Linked DNA regions of Bombyx mori. The protein of the gene in region 3 binds, or shares a complex with, the protein of the main gene of each other region. Links are inferred from orthologs where the notes say so. Each region holds a gene or a part of one and is shown on either strand. Other genes may lie near its edges.

Region 1 (4,066 bases), on a different chromosome or scaffold from region 3:
CACGAGATAATGTTCCGCAGTCATTTTTGTCTAGTGATGTGAATCGGGAATAAAGGCGTTCTATTTGATTAGGTGTGACTGAAAATGTTAAACATTGATTAGGTACAGAATGGTGTTTCAATCAGTTTCAGTGCATTTTAAATGTTACTGATGTTTAGTAATTTCATTAAAGTATGCATGGACATATCACTTGATGACTACATCATAAATAATTACAATAACAAACAATTGATTTAATAAGGAAAATAACTTACACCCGGTTTCTTCCTGTATTTGTGCAATTTCCTCCTCTCTCAACAACAAAGACGACTTATTTCCCATCTTTCTGTGAAATCACTACTAACCTTTGTGCCAAGACCTTTGATAAGGGAGCCCTGATAGCACTTAATTATTAATTAACCGCAGAATTTATTTAATAATTTACATTGGTTATGTGTGATAGTTATGTTTTTCAAAATTTTTATAACATGAAATGTATATAACTATTCCATTTGAAATAACAGTGAAAAAATTAAATTTCCTAATTTGATTTGAAGTATTTTGCCAATCAACTGATGAGAAAATTGTAGGTCTATGGAAAATTGAGAAATGTTCACGATCAGACTGTCACTGACATTTTACTTTTTGACATTTGAGAGTGACAGTAATTGTGACATGTATGCAGACTTGAATAGTGTTGCTAATGATTTTTTCGATTCTGGCTCTAGAAAAAATTCCGACCTCAAACCTGTATGTTAAATTATGAATTTGGCAGACAATGCTTTAATTACACCAGATAGGATAAGATTTAGGCGTGTACGAAATTTTACACATACTAAAATGGTTATTGTGAAAAGGCTTTTGGAGGGCCGCACGGGTATAAGCACTAAATAATTCCAGCTTAAAGCGATAAGGCAGCTGAAGATCTGAATTAAAAAAATTGAAAGGTAGTGTTTTTTGCTATGTTTTTGCTAGAATTGGATTTAAATATGATATTATTTTACATGTAAACTTGTCAATTTACTAAATTCACATAACCTTGCGCATTGCACGAGCGGTTGTCATGGTCTTTTTAGCTAGAATTTTATACTGTTTATGTACATTTTATACTGTCGTGTCAAATTTTTATTTCCCCCAACCTATGTATCGTATTATAATTTAACGTTTAACATAGTTTTGGCTTTTGTGGTCGTTTTATCCTCAGAAGTTCCAAGCCATCCTAATCGATGGCAATAGTTTTTAGCTTGCAACACAAACGTACCCTAACGTTTTGATATTGCTATGAAATTTTGAAATTACTAAGGGAAATAGAATGTTACACTGAAAACAGCTGTATTCAGGAAAGTTACGTGGTTGCGTAGGTAACTGAAATTTGAGTATTCTAGTCATGTTTATGTTAAATGAATCCAATTAATAGAAGTTGTAGCTTAATCATCTACAATGAGTGTTCCAAAACTACAATCAGAAACGTTTGGGACAGAAAGGAAATCGGAATTGGAGCCTCTGGACCCTTTATTGGAGGTAAATGAAAATGTAGCGAGTGAGATATTAGATGAACCAGATAAAGAAGAAGAATTCGATGAAATATCTCCTAAAGTGTTTAGTTTGAAAGATGTGAATGAACCTTTAACATTAGAAACGTTGAACAACACCATCTATGAGCTCGGTGTGATAAACTTATGCTGGCCGGATATAGTCGAACCAGTGTTCGAGACGAGAACTAAATTTCCAGAAAGCTACTACACGAACAGTCCAAAAGAACGCTTACTACTTGCTTATGCGGAATGTTTTAGGCGACAGTTCTTATTTCATTTTAAACCTCGGAAACCTTTGTTGCTACAAGCGCCAAACGAATGTGGATTACAGGTAATCTCTATTAACAATAGATGTCGCTAGATGTAACTTTGACCAAATGCACTTACGAACATGGGATAACGAGTTTAAAATACTATTACATACTAGTAATTTTTTATACACAAATACTTCGATTTGCTTTGGTTTACGCATAGACATTTTAACCTTACGATTTAATATCGCGTTTATTATTTTCGGAAGCTTCAGCGTAACCGCGAAAGCTTTTTTTTTAAATTGTATTTCCTACCTAAGCTGATGGTCTTGAGAAATCATATCAGCGTCATCGGGAGGTGAGCTCACGGGGCTAAAACCCTACGTTGTTACTAACACGAACCCTAGCAAGAGCCGCGCTTCGCAGAATCTACCACCCGATCGGAAACGCGACCCAGTGAGAAGATCCGGCGTGAAACTCAGTGGGCTGTGTCTGTGGGTTAATTTACTCGCCGAGCCTTTCGTGCAAGCGACGGGTTCGACAAGAACAATGACCGGTGCTTGGGGTACCTAAAAGCACCGTTAGTGGATCGGGACCACGAAAGCTGTGAAGTATTCGATTTTAATTCAAATAACCTGCTTCATACTAAACAATTCGGGTTTACCAGGGGTCGCTCTACAACTGATGCAGGTGCTTATCTAGTCAAAAATATTTTTAAATCTTGGGAGGAATCGCATGATTGTCTTGGAATTTTCTGTGACTTGTCCAAAGCATTTGACTGTGTTGAACATGAAACATTGGTGAGGAAACTACATCACTATGGTATTAGGGATGGTGCATTGGAACTTATTACTTCCTATTTATCAGGACGGATACAAACAGTAGATGTGAAAGGTAATAGATCTTCAGGCACCTTGTTGAAAATGGGTGTACCTCAGGGTTCCATTTTGGGTCCTTTTTTATTTCTAATATATATAAACGATTTACCTAGTTTTATTGAGTCCCGACACGAGGTCGTATTATTCGCAGATGATACATCTTTATTATTTAAAATTAAACGACAACTACAAGTCTATGACGAAGTGAATGATGCGATTTCGTGTGTGGTTCATTGGTTCCGTATCAATAACCTATTATTGAATAGTAAGAAAACTAAATGTATTAAATTTACTTTAAAATGTATTAAACCATCTTTAAATGTGAGACAAGTGGATAGTGATGTAATTGTTTCTGAGGAATCATTGGAGCTTGTTGAGTCAACCGTATTTCTTGGTATAACAGTGGACTCCAAACTGCAGTGGGGACCTCATATTCATAAATTGGCGAGTAAGCTCAGCTCTGCAGCATTCAAATTAAGGTTCAAACACCCGACGACCATAGGGCCCTCTCTTCTTACCTCCGTAAGGAGCGTATAAGTTTCCATACGTATACGCTCCAGGAGGAGCGCGAACTCCGCGTTGTAATACGCGGAATCCCTAAAGAGTTAGATGTAGAGCTCGTAAAAGCCGACCTGTTAGAACAAGGCCTACCAGTGAATTCTGTGCACCGTATGCACACCGGTCGCGGTAGGGAGCCATATAATATGGTTCTAGTCGCTCTCCAGCCTACCCCCGAGGGTAAGAAAATCTTTAACACACAGACCGTCTGTAGGCTCTCTGGTATCGCTGTCGAAGCCCCCCATAAAAAAGGCACTCCTAGCCAGTGCCATAACTGTCAATTGTACGGGCACTCTTCCCGTAACTGTCACGCGCGCCCCCGATGTGTTAAGTGTTTGGGCGATCACGCCACGGCCCTCTGCGCTCGCGACCAAAAAACCGCGACGGAACCGCCTAGCTGCGTCCTGTGTCGAACACAGGGTCACCCCGCGAATTACCGTGGTTGCCCCCGAGCCCCTAAAATAAATCGCCGCGTCGCCCGCCAAAACCGCCTCCGAGCTTCCGGCCCAGACATCAAAGCCTCGGCACCCTCTGCGTCGCAGGCTAAGCCAGCGTTCGTTCCGGCGGCGGTGCCCAGTGTCTCGGCCTGGGCAAAACCGCTGCCGTACACGAACACGGCTACAACTCCCTCCTCCGCGATTCGTCCCGCCCCCGCGACTCGTCCCTCTCCCGCGACTTGCCCTCCGACCGCGTCCGACAATCTCGCTTTAGCGATCGACTTCTTTCAGTCGATCAACTTTGAGCGCGTTAACGCTTTGGGCGACGCCATTCGCGCTGCCTCCACTGCACAACACTTTATCGCCGTTGTGCAGGAATACGCCGACGTATACGCGTCATTAAATACGTACGTCCTCCCCTCACTCCG
Region 2 (4,276 bases), on a different chromosome or scaffold from region 3:
AAAGACGTATACATTTTGTGCAAAAAAAGCTTTTAACTGATTTGATTGAATTTCGTTTTATTTTACTTTGCAGAATCGAGCTCTTCTTACCTATTATTAAGCCTAAGAATAATCATATGAATGAATTTCCCATAAAACAGTGTATACATAAATTGATATCGATGTCGAAGTTTTCAAACCGATTACGATTTGAACTGTTCAGTTGGAATAACTGCAATAACTGATATGCGTCGTTGTATCAGTAAAAACATATAAAATACTTCGAAAACTTAATGATGCTGTACATTAATATTTAATAAATTATTAGATTTTTATGCGATTTTATCTCATGCTTGAGTGTGAATAAAGTCGTAACCTTGATTTTGGCGTCAGATATTAAAATAGGTGTGTTTGCAAATCTCTAAATGGGACAGCAAACTGATGTATGGTTACTACGGAAGTTAAAGTTACTAAGAATCACACTAAATCTCTTAAAGTGGAAACAACAGTGCAACAATGATCCATGATTGATCGACAAATGTACACGTGCAGTAATTAAAAAAGTCCCTAACAACAATTTCAGCAACATTACTAAAAAACTGTACATTACGCATTAAATAATTACATCTGAAATCCTAACCTGTTCCAGTTTTCGCTTCGAGTGCTTTTTTCAATCTTTCTACCAAAGCCGGCTTGTTTCCCTTCGTATCTAACCCGAGAGCACCCAACTCGGACCTCAAGTCCACCACCTTCATTTTAGCAGGATCCATTGTATTAATCGTCTGATAGTATCCACTTCACAACACTTTAAAGTTTTTAAAACACATGTGCTTAAATAATATTAATTCTATTACTATCTGAACGAAAATTCACGACAGAAAAAGCGCCAACTAAATCCAAAATGGCGATTTAGCGGCGCATCAGCATAACGGAAGGAAATGGCGGTATATTATCTATGGTGGGGATTGGCGATTCCAGAATTTTTTGGAATAAGCTATTTGTTGTAAAATTCAAAAGGCCAAGGGTTTCTTATCCATACTACTCAAAAGTCTGGAAGCCTGCTGTTTAATCAGTATAGATTGGATTGTTTTTACAATGAATTTATTTTCTATTTGATTTTCTATAAAAGCATATTTTTGTGTTTTTTAAAGTATATATTTTTTTTTAACTAATATTTTTTGAATGTGGTACGACAATTAAACATCAACATGTCAACAATAAGCTATTAATTTGTACATTGGTTGAATTAAGCTTTGTCAATATTGTGGAGGAGCTGTTAAAACTGGGAGCTAATCCTAAAAAAAACTAATTTATGGATAATAGGTCTAACTGTTTAAAATATTGCATTGTCAACGGTCCTTGATAAGTACCTATGTCAAATTTTGATTTCAGTCTACGTTTTGAAGGGGGTCAAAATCATGTTCAAAGCATCCGTCACATATATACATACTAACTTACAGCAGCTCTGGTGCAAAATAGAACTAAAGCTTCGTCGATGACACTAGTGATAACTGATAGGTTGTGTTGCCTGGTTACGGAATATTTTTTTCAATTTAATACGTGTACTTATTAGTGTTACAAATCTTATAATTAAACTATTAGTTCATTATGGCAAGAAAAGAGGAACCTAAAAGTTAGTTATTATTTGAAAGATTTACTTTATATACATTTAATAATTTATAAACGAGCGATGTAAATACTGTGTAATTTAGTATCACTCATTAAATTTTATTATAAATGAATACATACATAAATACATTTATTAGTTGAAATTTAAACAAAACCAAACATTTTTATTGGTAAATAGATATTACGTCTGGTATAATATCTGATATATGTCATATATTGGTATATCTCATATACCTTAAATGTATCTTTCTAGTTCAACCAAACAATGATTTGGAGAAAAAAATAATTGAAGCTTTCGAAGTATTTGACCATTCTGGGAAGCAAGTCGTAGATGTAAGGGAAATAGGAACAATTCTTCGATCTTTGGGTAATGCTTTTTTTTCTGGTTTTCGTTAAATGTTTTAATACTTTACTAGTGTAATAAAGAGTATTTAAAAAATTCTGACTCTCACGGTAAATTAAAAGACACGAGTCACCACGAGTAGCCGATGGCGCTTGGAACAGTGCCGAAGTATCGCGAAATCATACTAAATATCGTAAGAATACAATAGCCGTGTTTACAACGTAATTACGCATGAAAAAAGTCATCATTTTGCTTTCCGTGCTCCAATTTTTCACCCTTTTAGGATAATAGATATCTCAATTTTAGTATGACAGTGATTATTCACGTCTTCGAGTCGCTACAAATTATTTAGGAGGAATAGTCGGAATGAAGGTGCTCTCCTCTCCGAGCCGGTCTGTGTGAACGGACCCTTAGGCCGTTTTTTGTTTTGGAAACTTCTAAGCGGATAACTGTTTGAGTACTAAATAGACTGTTTACATGGTAAATTTTGAATATAGCAAAAGAGACGTTAAATATATGTTTTTTAAAGGTTGCTGTCCAACTGAAGCCGAGATACAAGAGGTGATTTTAGCAACGGAAAACAAAGAAGCAACTGGAAACGTTCCGTTAACGAACTTTTTACCTTACATGTGTAAAGTCATGATAGAACATAGGTTTGTAATATTAAAATTAAAAAGGTTAAACAATTTTAAAATTTTGACAGTGTGGCTCAATCTTCGTTGTTATTTTTCATATCTTCTTTTTAATATAATACTGGCAGACCCGGCCACACGTTGCTGTGGCTAAGGTTTTTGTTTCTAATTAAAACGCGGCCGACTATGCTAATATCAAAAATTGACAAAGAACAATTGGATTTCACTGTATTGCGTTTACTACGAAATAAATTACCTACACTTATACTTTAGCCTAAGCATCATGTGGTGCTTATGCCATTAAATTGTAGCTTATGGAAACGTTGGAATTTTTGACAAAGCCAATTACGCCATTGATCACCGAGATAAGTAGATTTTGATGTTAGCTTTCTACCTTTCGTACGTGAATTTTTTAATTTAATTTTCCATAAAATGTTCATTATGTCAGGTATTTTATTTATTAATGGGACAGGTTTTATCCGGCGAGCGCTGAAATGCTGTTGGCTGCATTCAGATATTTTGACACGGAGGGACGTGGGTACCTCACTAAAGAGAGGTTCGCCAAGCTTATGATGGAAGAAGGAGAGTCATTTACGCAGGTACCTTAAAATTTCTTATTATTATCTATATCTATATATATAAAAATGAATTGTTGTTAATCAGTCTCGCTAAAACTCGAGAACGGCTGAACCGATTTGGCTAATTTTGGTCTTGAATTATTTGTGGAAGTCGAGCGAAGATTTAAAAGATAGATAGATATGAAAATGCACGGAATTTAATAAAAATAACAATTTTGTTTTTCCTTTGATGTGTCCCCTGTCGGTCTTTTATTTATCGATTGGGGTACTACGAAGTCTGCCGGGTCAGCTAGTTTTAAATAAAACAATTCGTTTTCCGGCTGCCTTCACTTTATGTCGTATAATATATTGTTACGCCGGTAAGAGTAACGCCATCTATCGCTGAACAGCCGAAACGAATACCAAATGATAGCAACATCTAGAACGCTCGAAAAGTACAACGCCATCTATTGTCAGGTAGCGGAAGCACGCATTGAAAGTGCTCGACTTGTGAGGAATGTTCTCGACGATTCTAGGGATGTCGTATCGACTTTATAAGCGTTGCAGAGATGCTGTCGACGTCACCCAAAACACGTCATTACGGATCCTCCCGATCCATTAACGGTGCTTTTAGGTACCACAAGCACCGGTCACAGTCCTCGCCGAACTAAGTTTCTCGCCGAATCTTCTCAGTGGGTCGCGTTCCCGATCCGGTGGTAGATTCTGCGAAGCGCTGCTCTTGCTAGGGCCAGTGTTAGCAACACTCAGGCTTGGGCCCCGTGAACCTTCATGTTAGGGCGAAACTGAAATAGTCTCTCGTGTTTGTGAAGTGTTTTAAGTGTTCTAAGAGATAACACAGTTTCAATTCGTACTTCGATAGAATTTTTATTTATACCGAATCGTATTATAATATAACATTATTTTTTATAATTAATAATCCTAACACTATACAACAATAATCCATAACATTAGTTATTATAAAATAATACCGTGTTATATGTTATGCTAACAAATACTATACTGTTGTATATGGATATGAATTGACTCGGTTAAATTTCAACGAGTATTCTTATGGCTCTCATTTTTTTCATGATACAGGAGGAGTACGATGAAATGATGCAAACAGCGTTAGATCC
Region 3 (4,237 bases):
ATTTTAGATGTAAATATTTTTATGACTATGTAAGATGAAATGCTGTAATAATATCTAAGTCTTTAATGCACTGTATAATAACAACATTATACTATTTACATTACATTGTACATTTTATAGTGTAACATTATGTAAATTATAATTTGTAATGGATAAAAATTGTGTAAATCTAGATATGCCCAAGAGCATAACTTCTTACTTCCTACTTGAGACATTAAGATAAATTCATAATGCACCATAGTGCAATTCATTAAATGAATATTTCATCTTGTAAGAGTAAACTGGATAGAAGCAATGAATCATGCCAGCTGACAAATAACCCTACCAGTCTTGATTATGCAATTCATATTTTTCATTACATAGATTTGTGTGTGAAATTAAGGAAGACCGAAATTGGTAGGGTAGGCTGAATTGCACACATTCACATAAAATGAATGTGTCTATTGTACTTCCTGAGCTTTGTAATAAACATAGTGGTACATAATAATATAGTACAACTTACCAACTCTGATATAAATTCCTTATTGCAGACGAGAACATGGAACGGCTTTCCACAGTTTTTTACGCATGTTTCCAGGACAGTCAGCGTGTACATCACCACTGTGTAGTTCTTCCCAGCGCTTGTAGTCAACCTTTTTCTTATTGCTTTAATGGCATCTTTAGGTCCGTCCGTACTGCTGTTTATTATATCGCATATTTCCATGTTCAGAGCCCAATTTTCAGATGGTAATGCGCCATCTGTGGCTTGTTCTATAATCAAAATTAATGTAAACACACAAGTGATCGTGAGGTCAAAATAATTAACAGATACATAATATTTGATTTTTTTTTAATACTATAAAAATGTTCGTATATATTGCGGTATGTAACATTTGTATGCGAATACCGCAATTGCACTACATAAGAAATTGGAATCTTGTAGTGCGCAACAAAAAGAAAATGTACTTCTTTCATGGAACAATAAACTTACAACTTTAGCATCAATTTTCGTAATAAATTTATGAAACTTACCAATTTTTTGACCCACCGGCGTAGAAAAGGGATTCCCTACACCAAAAAACGACATTTTTGTAAAATAATAAAATATTTATCTATTGATGCAATTCACCAATCTCACTTGTCATTAAAAACTAGAGTTGCCCAGTTTCTGTCTCCAATTACCCCACACTATCAAAGACCAATGTCAAAAATCTGGGATTTTTCCGCGATTTGACTAAATACCCTAAAAATGTGGATAAACGTTGATAATTTTCCGACGTTTCCGCAATTTTAGGATATGAACCTGTTTGAACTGTGAAAAGGTTTCTCTGTGGATTACTATCCTATGCTGTCTTTTAAAAATATCGAAATATATTTCTTCGAAACACTTCATTTAAGAAACTGGCAACTTTAACCAAGTTAAATGTCAAACTTTGTATGTTCAGAAATAAGGAGTAAAACGAAAATACAGAATGTGAAACATGAAATGAATCAAAAATGATAATAATAATGTCTACCTTGACGTTAACCACTTTTTAAATATTAATGAATAATCATTACAACATCATTTAATATAATTTCATTTTGAACCAACCACATTTAACCGCCATATTATTTGAAATCATGTAACTTAGCAACTAGGTATATAACATAAATAAACTGTTAAATAAGTCACTGCAAATTGATTTGCAACAAGCAAACGTTTAACGATGACCGAGAAGAGATCATTGAATAGCCTTGTAATATATCCAGACATCGAGCCTGGTGTCATTGATAATGCGATGATCATACGATGTATACTTGAGTACGGTGGGTTTAGTAGAGATGATAGGTTAAAAATGGGACTTATATAAAAAACCTTTTGTATCTGTTGCCTTCCAGGGCCTACTGAAGAAGCAGGAAGACTTTTTGCCGAAGAAGGAGTACATTTGGATGAAGCTCAAGTAGTTCGACTTGAATTTCAAAATATTTTAAGAATCGATCATCTATGGATGTTGAAATCTTTAAGGAAATTAACTTTAGCTCATAATTTAATAGAAAAAATAGAAAATCTGGATCAACTTACTGGCCTGAATGAACTAGATTTATCGTTTAACAAAATTGAAAAGATTGAAAACTTGGATAAACTCGTAAATTTGGAAATCCTTACGTTGTTTCATAACAGAATCAGGAAACTGGAAAACATGGAATTGCTTGAAAAATTGCTTGTATTTAGTATTGGTGATAATATAATAGAGGATTATAAAGAAGTAAGTAAAAATAATCATGCTACGAAACAATATATCGTTTCAAAAAACACTGATATGTATTGACAGGTAGTGTCACAGATCAACAGCTAACTAAGCTGAGAGCCTTGAGAGGCTATATCAGCGTAGCCTTAACTAGTAGGTGAGCTCACGGGGCTCAAACCTGACGAGAAGTCGACGAGAAATGGCATAGGAAAGAAAAATCCTAATCATTTATGTAAACTTTATTAATGCTAAGTCGTCGTGGCCTAAAGGATAAGACGTCCGGTGCATTCGTATCGAGCGATGCACGGGTGTTCGAATCCCGCTGGCGGGTACCAATTTTTCTAATGAAATACGTACTCAGCAAATGTTCACGATTGATTTCCGCGGTGAAGGAATAACATCGTGCAAAATTATAATTTGCGTAATAACTGGTGGTAGGACCTCTTGTGAGTCCGCACGGGTAGGTACCACCGCCCCGCCTATTTCTGCCGTGAAGCAGTAATGCGTTTCGGTTTGAAGGGTGGGGCAGCCGTTGTGACTATACTGAGACCTTAGAACTATATCTCAAGGTGTGTGGCGCATTTACGTTGTAGATGTCTATGGGCTCCAGTAACCACTTAACACCAGGTGGGCTGTGAGCTCGTCCACACATATAAGTAATAAAAAAAAATTGCTAACTCCAACAAATAGCGCGTCACATAAAACCTCTTATCGTGGCCGCTTCTATACCTAACCACTACCCAGTGTCATGTCAAATGTCTTATACCCGCCCCAAACGACGGGGCAACGATAAGTCGCTGTCGCCGAAAGCACGTCTTGTCGGATCCTCCAGATCTACTCTTAGTGCTTTTAGACTCTCCAAGTACCGGTCATCGCTCTCGTCGAACTCTTCGAATATGATGAAGAATTTTACGTCATCGACACAATCCACTAAGTTTCTTGCCGGATCTTCTCAATGGGTCGCAATTCCCTATGCGGTGGTAGATTCAGCAATACACTGCTCTTGCTAAGGATGGTGTTAGGTTAGTGTTCTTTCAGACTGAGCCCGTGACGATTAGCTACCAACTATTTGGTAGGGGAAAAAAGCTAAATGATATACATAAACAATAAAATAAATGGAAGATCAACTTAAAGCGTTATATTAATAACGAGAATTAGTATTCCGTAAGATAAGGACCACATAATTTACGTCTATTAAATGAGACTTTTAAATCTAATACTAAGGGTTGTATCATCAAGGGATCTTTAACATCCATTCATAACTTTTTTTTAAATTTCCACTGTACACACAAGCAATCTTTGTTAACAGTTTTACTTTATACATAAATAGCTTTTTGAACATCCTTCAACAGATGGCCTACCTCCGCAGATTCCGTTTTCTTCGTTCAGTGAGCTTCAAGGGAAACCCATGCTGCGACGACCCTATGGCTTATCAGTTTATCAAATCAGCTTTAACCAGAGTTACATATCTTGATTACAAAATCGTCACGGAAGCAGAAAGAGAAGACGGTAGAGCTTTGTTTAGGTAATTTGTCTTTAAAAATATGCTCACGGCTTACTGAGAGCTATCTAATAGGTATGCGGTCTAGGTCGGAAACCAGCGACTACCGAATTGCTTAGATATGAACCCCCTGTGTATGATTTGTAACCTGTGTAAGATTGCAAGTCATCATCATTCTCCTGCCCTTCTCCCAGTCACCTGGGGTGGCGCAACATGTTTTCTACTTCCATACTCCTCTATCATATACCACTTCGTCGCTCACTCCCCTCTTACACATATCATCTGTCACGCAATCCATCCATTTCTTCTTAGGTCTACCTCTTCCTCTATATCCTTCCACATTCATAGTTAACACTTTCTTACAAACCTCATTGTCATTTCGTCTCATCACATGTCCATACCATCCTAAACGCGCACTTCTCAACTTCTCTGTCACAGGTTCCACTTTCAGACTTCCTCTAACATATTCATTCCGTATTCTATCCATTCTCGTTACTCCACACATCCATCGCAAAATTCGTATCTC

What was found.
Region 1: dynein regulatory complex subunit 3 (region 3) and dynein regulatory complex subunit 7 share a complex: the UniProt entries of both Homo sapiens proteins name them as parts of the nexin-dynein regulatory complex. The link is inferred for Bombyx mori from reciprocal best matches to the Homo sapiens genes DRC3 and DRC7.
Region 2: dynein regulatory complex subunit 3 (region 3) and dynein regulatory complex protein 8 share a complex: the UniProt entries of both Homo sapiens proteins name them as parts of the nexin-dynein regulatory complex. The link is inferred for Bombyx mori from reciprocal best matches to the Homo sapiens genes DRC3 and DRC8.

The regions. Positions count from the first base shown.
Region 1 is NC_085131.1:3,776,617-3,780,682, reverse strand, and holds the start of dynein regulatory complex subunit 7, read left to right. Parts: upstream 1-1,240; 5' UTR 1,241-1,419; coding exon 1,420-1,845; intron 1,846-4,066. Other genes in the region: calcium-binding protein p22, read right to left, coding at 1-78, 255-321. UniProt on the Homo sapiens protein: Component of the nexin-dynein regulatory complex (N-DRC) a key regulator of ciliary/flagellar motility which maintains the alignment and integrity of the distal axoneme and regulates microtubule sliding in motile axonemes.
Region 2 is NC_085130.1:5,994,833-5,999,108, forward strand, and holds the start of dynein regulatory complex protein 8, read left to right. Parts: upstream 1-1,454; 5' UTR 1,455-1,587; coding exon 1,588-1,612; intron 1,613-1,861; coding exon 1,862-1,975; intron 1,976-2,480; coding exon 2,481-2,604; intron 2,605-3,055; coding exon 3,056-3,182; intron 3,183-3,999; exon of another isoform or gene 4,000-4,238; coding exon 4,239-4,276. Other genes in the region: heterogeneous nuclear ribonucleoprotein U-like protein 1, read right to left, coding at 620-749. UniProt on the Homo sapiens protein: Component of the nexin-dynein regulatory complex (N-DRC), a key regulator of ciliary/flagellar motility which maintains the alignment and integrity of the distal axoneme and regulates microtubule sliding in motile axonemes.
Region 3 is NC_085117.1:10,151,667-10,155,903, reverse strand, and holds the start of dynein regulatory complex subunit 3, read left to right. Parts: upstream 1-1,419; 5' UTR 1,420-1,688; coding exon 1,689-1,788; intron 1,789-1,860; coding exon 1,861-2,228; intron 2,229-3,562; coding exon 3,563-3,735; intron 3,736-4,237. Other genes in the region: TOM1-like protein 2, read right to left, coding at 503-750, 1,012-1,066. UniProt on the Homo sapiens protein: Component of the nexin-dynein regulatory complex (N-DRC) a key regulator of ciliary/flagellar motility which maintains the alignment and integrity of the distal axoneme and regulates microtubule sliding in motile axonemes.